Cricetulus griseus: one gene and its partner. The protein of the gene in region 1 purifies or fractionates together with the protein of each later gene. This does not show direct contact. Links are inferred from orthologs where the notes say so. Each region holds a gene or a part of one and is shown in the gene's direction. Other genes may lie near its edges. The genes, in order: Sertad4 and Ppp2r2c.

Region 1 (4,462 bases):
TGAAGGCAAAAGAATAAACTGGGCCCTTGCTATACCAGAAAGAAAATCCATCTTCAGCAAGCAGGCCTGACGTCACTTCAGTGACAGGTCCTTAGAACACAAGTGAGTCACCTGTGCAGGTCTGGATATCCTACAGCAGTGATTCTCAGCCTTTGGGTAATGACCCCTTTGGTAGTCAGTCTTTCACAGGGGTCACCTAAGACCTTCAGAGGACAGATACTGACAATGTAATTCATAACAGTAGCAAAATTACAGTTACCAAGTAGTGATGAGATAATTTTATGGTTGGGGCGGTCACCCCAGCATGAAGACCTGGTTAAAGGGTTGCAGAGTTAGGAGGGTTGAGAACTCCTGTCTGAAAGGACCCAGGAATCGGAGTTGCTGGGTCTGCTCCCTGGCCCCAGACTCCCTTTCTCCCTGGAACATACTCTTGACCCTATTCTGAGGGTCACCACTGAGCCCCATGGAGGTGGCCTCATAGCCTGGATTACACAGGGTCAGAGTCTGGGAGGCCAAGCAGAGCTTCTGAGGCCAGGCTGGCTCCCAGCGTCCTAAGGTCTGGGTGGGAACCAGAGAGGAGGGCAGACGGCAATGTGTTGACTCTTGGAAAGTTCCTGCCTGGTATCTGGCTTTACAGTTTAAAGAGTTGCTGGCTGCCTCTGCCCAGAGCCCTGGCTCCTGTTTAATATTCTGCTGCCTGGTTAGTGTTGGGCTTGGCTCCTGTGGGGCTGCAACTCACGGCTGGAAACGGGAGCCAATTTTCTGTCTTCATCTCACAGTGTTGTGACTGGAGGCAGACCCAGTTCAGGCCGACAAGGGCTGTGGAAACAACTGCCGAGTGTCTGCCTGCTTCACCCCGGGAGGAGAGAGTGTGGCCGAGGAACTGGGAGGAGAGACAAGTGCTGGAAGGACCCTAGGACTTCTGTCCTGCCCCTGTCCCCCTCCCCCATTGACAGCAGATTTTATCAAAGGGGACTCCTAGAGGCTTGAATAGAAAATTGATTTCACCTTATTAATAGAAGGGAAGCACAGGGCTTCTAGCCCTTCCTCTTAGAGGTGCGTTCGTAAGATCGGGAGGAAAATGTATTTAGGATACAGAGCAGCTGTCTGAGAGGGGCTGAGCGGATCCGAGAACAATAAGAGTGGGCTCTAAAGATCCGCCCTGAGATGCAGGCTGCCATTTGCAGTAGCTAAGCTGAGAGCAGCAAGAGTTTGCTGAGGTGTCCTGGGAAAGGTAGTCTGACGGTTTGGTATGAAGGGAAAGGAGAGGAACTGAAAGCCTTCCCAAGTACCAGAGACCATCATCCTCAGGCTGGCTCCTAACCCAGGCTGTATATCTCTCCAACTCACCCACCCCTTCTTTTCCAGGTCTAAGGCTGTCAGAGATGACGCTGGTTCTGTCCATGAATAGATTCTGCGAGCCCATTGTCTCAGAAGGAGCTGCTGAAATTGCTGGGTACCAAACGCTATGGGAGGCTGACAGCTACAGAGGTGTGAGCCCCCCAGGGCCAGCACAGCTTCCTTTGCAGGGAGACCGAGGAGCCAGCCCTCAACTGGCAGGTATTGCCTTTGGCCTTCTCCTTAGGAGGTGGTGTTCAGTCAGGCTGGGCTCCTTGGGAAATCCTACTTAACTTGCTCTACAGTCCATCTGCTGTGGACATCCTGGAGCAGTGGGTTTTTGGTTTTTTGTTTGTTTTTTAAGGGTCTGAACCAGATACTGAAAGTTTGGATTCAGGCTTTGTGTCCTTGGGAAGTGAATGGTCCTCGGGGATGTACACATCACAGGGCCCACAAGCAGAGCTTCTGCCCCACCAGGCATAAAGAAGTCTGCACCCTTACCACAGCTTCAAGCTGCTCTTCTTCATGAAGCACACAGTTGATAAGAAAATAGAAATATATTCTTCTGGGCTTTAATTCTAATAGTCTCACATAAGTTCCTTTGAGTGTTTATAAAGCGATAGTTTTTTTTTTTCCTTTTAAAAAGAAACTGAAATGAAAGCTTCATGAAAGTCTAGTTTCTGAAAAGGTTTTAAAGTCCTCAAAGGAGGCCCTGCTGTATTCATGGTTGACGTGTTAACACTACCAGAGTGAAACAGCATTTAATCACTCCAAATGTTAAGCTTCCATATGTAACTTCGTATCTTAAAAGAAAAGCTATTATAACTCCATGTATGTATGCATTTGTTTACTAACCCTGAAATCAATTCGTACCCATGATTTACTACCTCTGTGAGGTGGGGTCTGAGTCAATGCTGGTATTGCTTTGGACAGGGTCTCTCTCTCTCTCTCTCTCTCTCTCTCTCTCTCTCTCTCTCTCTCTCTCTCTCTCTCTCACACACACACACACACACACACACACACACAACACACCACCACCACCACCACCACCACCACCACCACCACCACCAACGCCATCCATGAATTCCGCTGTTTGCCTGTACAGAGAGTTAAGATCCCAGGCATTTAGTAAATGCTGAAAGGTGGGTGACATTTTCCTCTGATGTGGCCTGGAAATCTTTACCTTCCCAGACTCACAGGATTCAGTCCGCTGGTAGCTGCAACTATGAAGACAAATGTTTGTTTTTCATCACTGCGTATACAGTCAGGGATGTAGCCAAGTTATCCACTCCAGGGAAAGGAAATGAAAGCATTTTGCTTGGAGAACCGCTGGCAGGCTTCGTGTCATTTGTCTATCTGATTTATTACTGCAGGATCACATTACAGGGGAATTCCAAATCCTATAAGCACATCCAAGGTCACATATTTCAAGAGGAAGTACACAGAAGAGGAGGATTCTCACCCAACACTCAGCAGCTGCAGCCGTAAAGTATGTTTAAACAGCAGTTACTTTATTAACAGTTACAATGTCTTGTGGCACTGGCTTGAACCATTTCCAGACATTAAATTGTCCCACCCAAGCAACAGAAGAGAGCCACTTCTTTATGGGACTACATGAATCACTGTCACTTTGGTGGGGGGAACCTGTACTGGATAGCACTAAGTCAATTTGTCACAAGCTAAAGTCATCTGAGAGGAGGGAAGCTCCATTGAGAAAATGCCTCCGTAAGATCAGGCTGTGGGCAAGCCTGTAGGGCATTTTCTTAGTTAGTGATTGGTGGGGGAGGCCCAGTCCATTGTGGGTGGTGCCATTCTTGGAATGGTGGTCCTGGGTTCTATAAGAAAGCAGGCTGAGCAAGCCAGTAAACAGCTCTCCTCCATGGTCTCTGCATCAGCTCCTGCCTCCAGGTTCCTGCCCTGTCTTGAGTTCCTGTCCTGATGTACTTTGGTGATGGCCTACAGTGTGGAAGTGGAAACCAAATAAACCCTTTCCTTCCCAAGTTGCTTTGGTTATGCATTTCATCACAGCAATAATAACCCTGACTAGGGCAGGGCCTGTGTTACTTTTCACAAGTACTTGAAGAACCAGACAGAGATTCTCTGCCTGGAAATAACCACAGTATGTACGGAAGAACACATCTTTTTGTGGATAATTTAATACTCTGGGGCTGCACTGAGGCCCAGGGCTGCTCTTTGATGTCACCTGTTGGGAGATGCACTTGGCTTTCCTGACTCTGGTCTGAGCTCTGCCCACAAGGCTACTTCTGTGTGCTGGTTGAGGTGGTTGTTCAGGAGTTTTCCTGGGGGGGGGTCAATATATTGTCCCTTGGATACGTACATAGAGCTGTTTGTGATACGTTGTGACATATGTCAAGTTTGTTAAAATCCAGAATTAATTCCCAAGGAAGGACCAAAGATAGCTGTTTTTCTTTCCACACAAAATAAGGAAATACAAGTGCATGAGGTGAAGGACCGGGTGCGTGTCTAAGCTTAGGTTCGTTTTCCTCTGTGGTTGCCTCCCCTCCAGAACTGTGCCTCCAGCTCAGCTTCTTCCACCTCTCTGTCCCCACCCCGCCGGCTGCCTCCCCTTGCCCACCCCTCTCCAGGCTTTAGCAGTTGCTTTTGCCTGTTTGTCAGGAGGCACCCATGTTTGTATCTGTAGTTCCTGTGGGTGCTGCATCTGTGTCCACTTTCCAGTTGCTAGTGAGATGTGTCAGCTCTGGAGAAAGTTCAAAGTCTACCTGGGCTTCGTTGTGAGTTCCCAGGCCGCCTAGGCTACATAGGCAAGGACATGTTTGCTGCTTTTTTTTTTTTCACACACACAAAAAAATGTTAACAATAATAGCAATTGCTAACGGACCATCCTCCACCCAGTGTCAGCCTCACTGCCCAGGACTACATCCCCAACTCCAGTTTCTGTCAGCGTGTGTCTCTTTCCTGTCAGCTCCACAAGCCAACAGGTCCTACCTAACCTAGCCTCACTAACTACAGTTGCCCTCTGATCAAATAAGACATGTTACAGGTGTGAAAACCCAGAAGTGTTCCTTGGTGGTGTTGTAATTTAAGAAAAGCAGCTCAGGAGAGAAAGACGCCACGTGACAGGGTTCAAGCAGAGGGGCTTTTT
Region 2 (3,810 bases), on another chromosome or scaffold:
GCAAGTCCTTTCCAGGTGGCTCAGCTGGTCTGAGTCTTAATCAGGCGGCTTGGCTGATCAGGTCGCTGGTCTCTGCTTCTTTCTGAGCAGCTTGTTGGGGAATAGATCTTTGCAGTCTTTATTGCTTATATATTCCAGAAAGGGAGGGACTTAGTGAACCCGGTCAGCTTCAGGAACTTCCTGAAGCTACTTTGAGTTGTTTATCTACTGTCCAAAAGGAGCTTCCCTAAAAGATGAAGTATCTCACCTCCCCTTATTAGGTGGTTCTCAACCTTCCTAATGCCATGACCCTTTAGTACAGTTCCTCAGGTTCTAGTGACCTCCAACCATAAAATTATTTTCATTGCTACTTCATAACAGTAATTTTGCTACTGTTATGAATCATAATGTAAATATTTGCAATACAGGGTATCTGCTATGCGACCCCTGTGAAAGGGCCTTTCGACCCCCAGAGGTGTTTCAGCCCACAGGTGAGAACTGCTACCTTAGACCATCCTGCTGTTTCACCTCCTTGTAAACATCCTGTCCTAAAATATCCCATTGTTTCACTTCCTTTTTACATCCTATATCTTCAAAATTCTCCCCAAGATGAAAAATTTTAATCCACTACACAGCAGACACCCTGTATGCTTCTCTCCTGGCATGGTGTGGTGGGCTGTGTCTGTGAAGGGCTCTTCAACTGCAGTTGAGAGGGAAAGCAAGTCAGAAAATTCCCATTACAGAAAGGAAAAACTGAGGCCCAGAGTATAGCCACACTTGCTCTGTAGTTACTGAGTTGAGCTCATCCTGGGTATTATAGTGTGGAGGGAGTTGGGCTGGTCTTCTTTGGTGCAGTGAAGGACAGAATGTGGTGCTGTAGAGTTGTGGCAAAGTTGACGTTTGTCCTGCTTAATTAAAAGACACAAGGACTTGCATCCTCCAGCAGAGTGTGGAACTTGCAAGAAAGAGTTTTGGTGGCTGGAGTGCTTGCTCAGTGATTAAGAGCACTTGCTGTTCTTGACTCCCACCACCTACATGGCAGCTTATAGCTGTCTGTAACTCCAGTCCTAAGGGATTTGATGCCCTCTTCTGACCTCTTTGGGTACCAGGCACACCACATAGTGTGCATGCATACATCAGTCAAAATGCTCATACACATAAATTATAAAAAGAACAAGAGAGAGAAGCGTGTGTGTGTGTGTGTGTGTGTGTGTGTGTGTGTGTGTGTGTGTGTGTGTGTGTGCTGGGCACTTCAGTTTATAGGGAGAGACCCTGGATACCTGTACTGCTGACCATGCCCATTTGGGTATGGTCACAGGTACCTAGAGGGGTAGGATAAAGAGCGAGGAAGAGGCGCTCCTCATCTCTCGGGGGTGTTCAGGCTAGGTCTTGGAGGCATCTGGGACTGGACTTCTCAGAGTGCCAAATCTGGTTATTGGTTCCTTGTGTGAGTATCCCTTCTTAATAAATTACCAGTTAATAACCTATCCCATGTTTGATCTTGTTTCTCATCATCAGTTCATGCAAGGTGGGCAGGTTTATTCCTGAGCCCCTTATACAGGCCAGGAGGCTTTGAAAACCTCACAGTTAAACAGCCATGTAGAGCATGCTGCGCTAGCAGGGCAGGTGAAGGACATTTGGTATCTCTGACCATTGATCTCACACACGACCGCTTGCTTATTTCACACCCTGCTCCTGAATGAGTGTTGCAGCTTCCCATTAAGATCGTGTGTTCTCTGCCAGGCAGTAATCCTTTAATCCCAGCACTTGAGAGGCAGAAGCAGGAGGATTTCTATGAGTTTGAGGCCAGCCTGGTCTACAGAGCGAATTCCAGAACAGCCAAGGCTACACAGAGAAACCCTGTCTTGGGGGAAAAAAAAGATTGTGTGTCCTGTGACTTCTCCGGCCCCTTCCCTTGTGACTCTGACTGTCTCTGCTCTGCAGGTCCCTGTCCTGAAGCCCATGGACCTGATGGTGGAGGTGAGCCCGAGGAGGATCTTTGCCAATGGCCACACCTATCACATCAACTCCATCTCAGTCAACAGCGACTGTGAGACATACATGTCAGCAGATGACCTACGCATCAACCTCTGGCATCTGGCCATCACTGATAGGAGCTTCAGTATCCTTGGCTTGACCTGCTGGGAAGTGGCTTCAGGGTGGTATATAAGCACACTGGCTTCCGGGCTTTAGTTTTGGCAGCTTCCTTACTGTGGTCCCATCTAGGGTGTGAAGGGGGCCAGGTGTAGGACCACAGTATTTATGAACACTTAAAAGACACAGCTGCTGAGAAGCTCCATCACACCCCATGCCTCCTTAGGGTGGCAATGGTCTCCATCACCTTGGTCCCCATAGGAGCCATGAAAGGTCAAGAGAGCTAGAGGCAACATGTCCGGTGTTGTGTCTCTCTGGATATAGAGTAACAACTGGGGTATCAGAGATATGGGTGTCAGAAGCTAGCCAGAAATGGGATCCTGGTGTCAGAACAAGCTAAGGACTGAGCACTGCCCCTCCTCCAGCCTGCTAAGGAGAGGACCACCTATAGGATGTGTGAGTGTAGCCTGCACCAAGCTGGGGAAGGTCAGGGCCAATCCAGAAAGGGCAGGTTGCTACCATGTCACTGTTGTGTGGACTATTAATGCCAGCCATACTAAGTGATGTTTCATGTACTGAGCTTTCACACAATAGGATAGTCACCAGCCCCTTTGCAGTAAGGGACCTGAGTCATTGAGTCTGAGCTCATTAGATGACAAGTATCTACTGAGAGGGAGTGAGGGGCAGGGAATGGCATAGCGATGATGTAATGGAGACAGTAAAGAATGTTGACTTCTTCAATTTGGGCTGTGTTGTAACTGTCTTTGGACCTAGGTGGCCACAGGACATTAGAACAAGATAGTTGTATATGAGGAAAGAGAGTTGATTACTCCAGCACCAAGACTTGTTTGTCCCCGTGTCACTGACTTCCTTTTCCCATCTAGAATACAGGAGTTATGCTCATCCATGTTGAAGAGCACAGCATTCACCAGCAGAGTAGAAGGGGGAGCATGTCAGTGGACTGGCGGGCCTTGTGGGAACTCGAGTGGAAAGGGGAACATGTCAGTGGACTCGTGGAACTAGGGAACTAATATGGCTGTTGTGGACACACTGTGTCCAACTTGTGTGTGGCTCCAGTTTTGTGAAAGTGCCTGGTAAGCTGGTGACGAGAGGTGCCTGACTTGTTCAATGCAGGAAGGGGTATGTGTCAGGTGCTGAAGACCCGGATGTGGCTTAGGGAAAACTAGGATTTGAAGCAGCCTCCTGTCTGACTGCCAGGTTAATCAGGGAGCCATGTTGCCCCACTGTGGCCTGCTGGTACCAGGCCACAGAGTGATGAGAGTCAGACACCTGGAACAGAGCTCTGGGCTTATTCCCTGGAGGTGAGCCTCTCTTAGCAGAAAAGGGTCTGGACTCTGGGCTGCAGGTGTTTCCACGGATCTGATGGCAGCTGAGTAATTGGAGATGTCTCCCTTCTGGCATGGAGAGAGGTATGTGTGACCTCATGCTGAGCTGGGATGGCTTTGAGCTTATGTGATACCCTCTGAGGGATGTACGTGTATGCATGTGTGTGTGTGTGTGTGTGTGTGTGTGTGTGTGTGAGAGAGAGAGAGAGAGAGAGAGAGAGAGAGAGAGAGAGAGAGAGAGAGAGAGAGAGAGAGACCTGGAGGATCCTGGCTCATCCATTCTGGGGAGGAAGCTGAGGTCAGGGTTGGAGGTGATGCTGAGTGCAGAGAGCTGGACTGAGTCTGGACCAGGGTCTTGCATTCCTTTCTGTCAGCCTCTGCTCAAAGTTCT

The links.
Region 2: the proteins of Sertad4 (region 1) and Ppp2r2c purify together in Homo sapiens (affinity purification with mass spectrometry; 3 studies listed by BioGRID and IntAct, counting the BioPlex papers as one, with this or other methods). This does not show direct contact. The link is inferred for Cricetulus griseus from reciprocal best matches to the Homo sapiens genes SERTAD4 and PPP2R2C.

The regions. Positions count from the first base shown.
Region 1 is NC_048598.1:2,353,395-2,357,856, forward strand, and holds the start of Sertad4 (SERTA domain-containing protein 4), read left to right. Parts: upstream 1-1,385; coding exon 1,386-1,560; intron 1,561-2,711; coding exon 2,712-2,827; intron 2,828-4,462.
Region 2 is NW_023276807.1:105,893,107-105,896,916, forward strand, and holds part of Ppp2r2c (protein phosphatase 2, regulatory subunit B, gamma), read left to right. Parts: intron 1-1,923; coding exon 1,924-2,101; intron 2,102-3,810. UniProt on the Homo sapiens protein: The B regulatory subunit might modulate substrate selectivity and catalytic activity, and might also direct the localization of the catalytic enzyme to a particular subcellular compartment.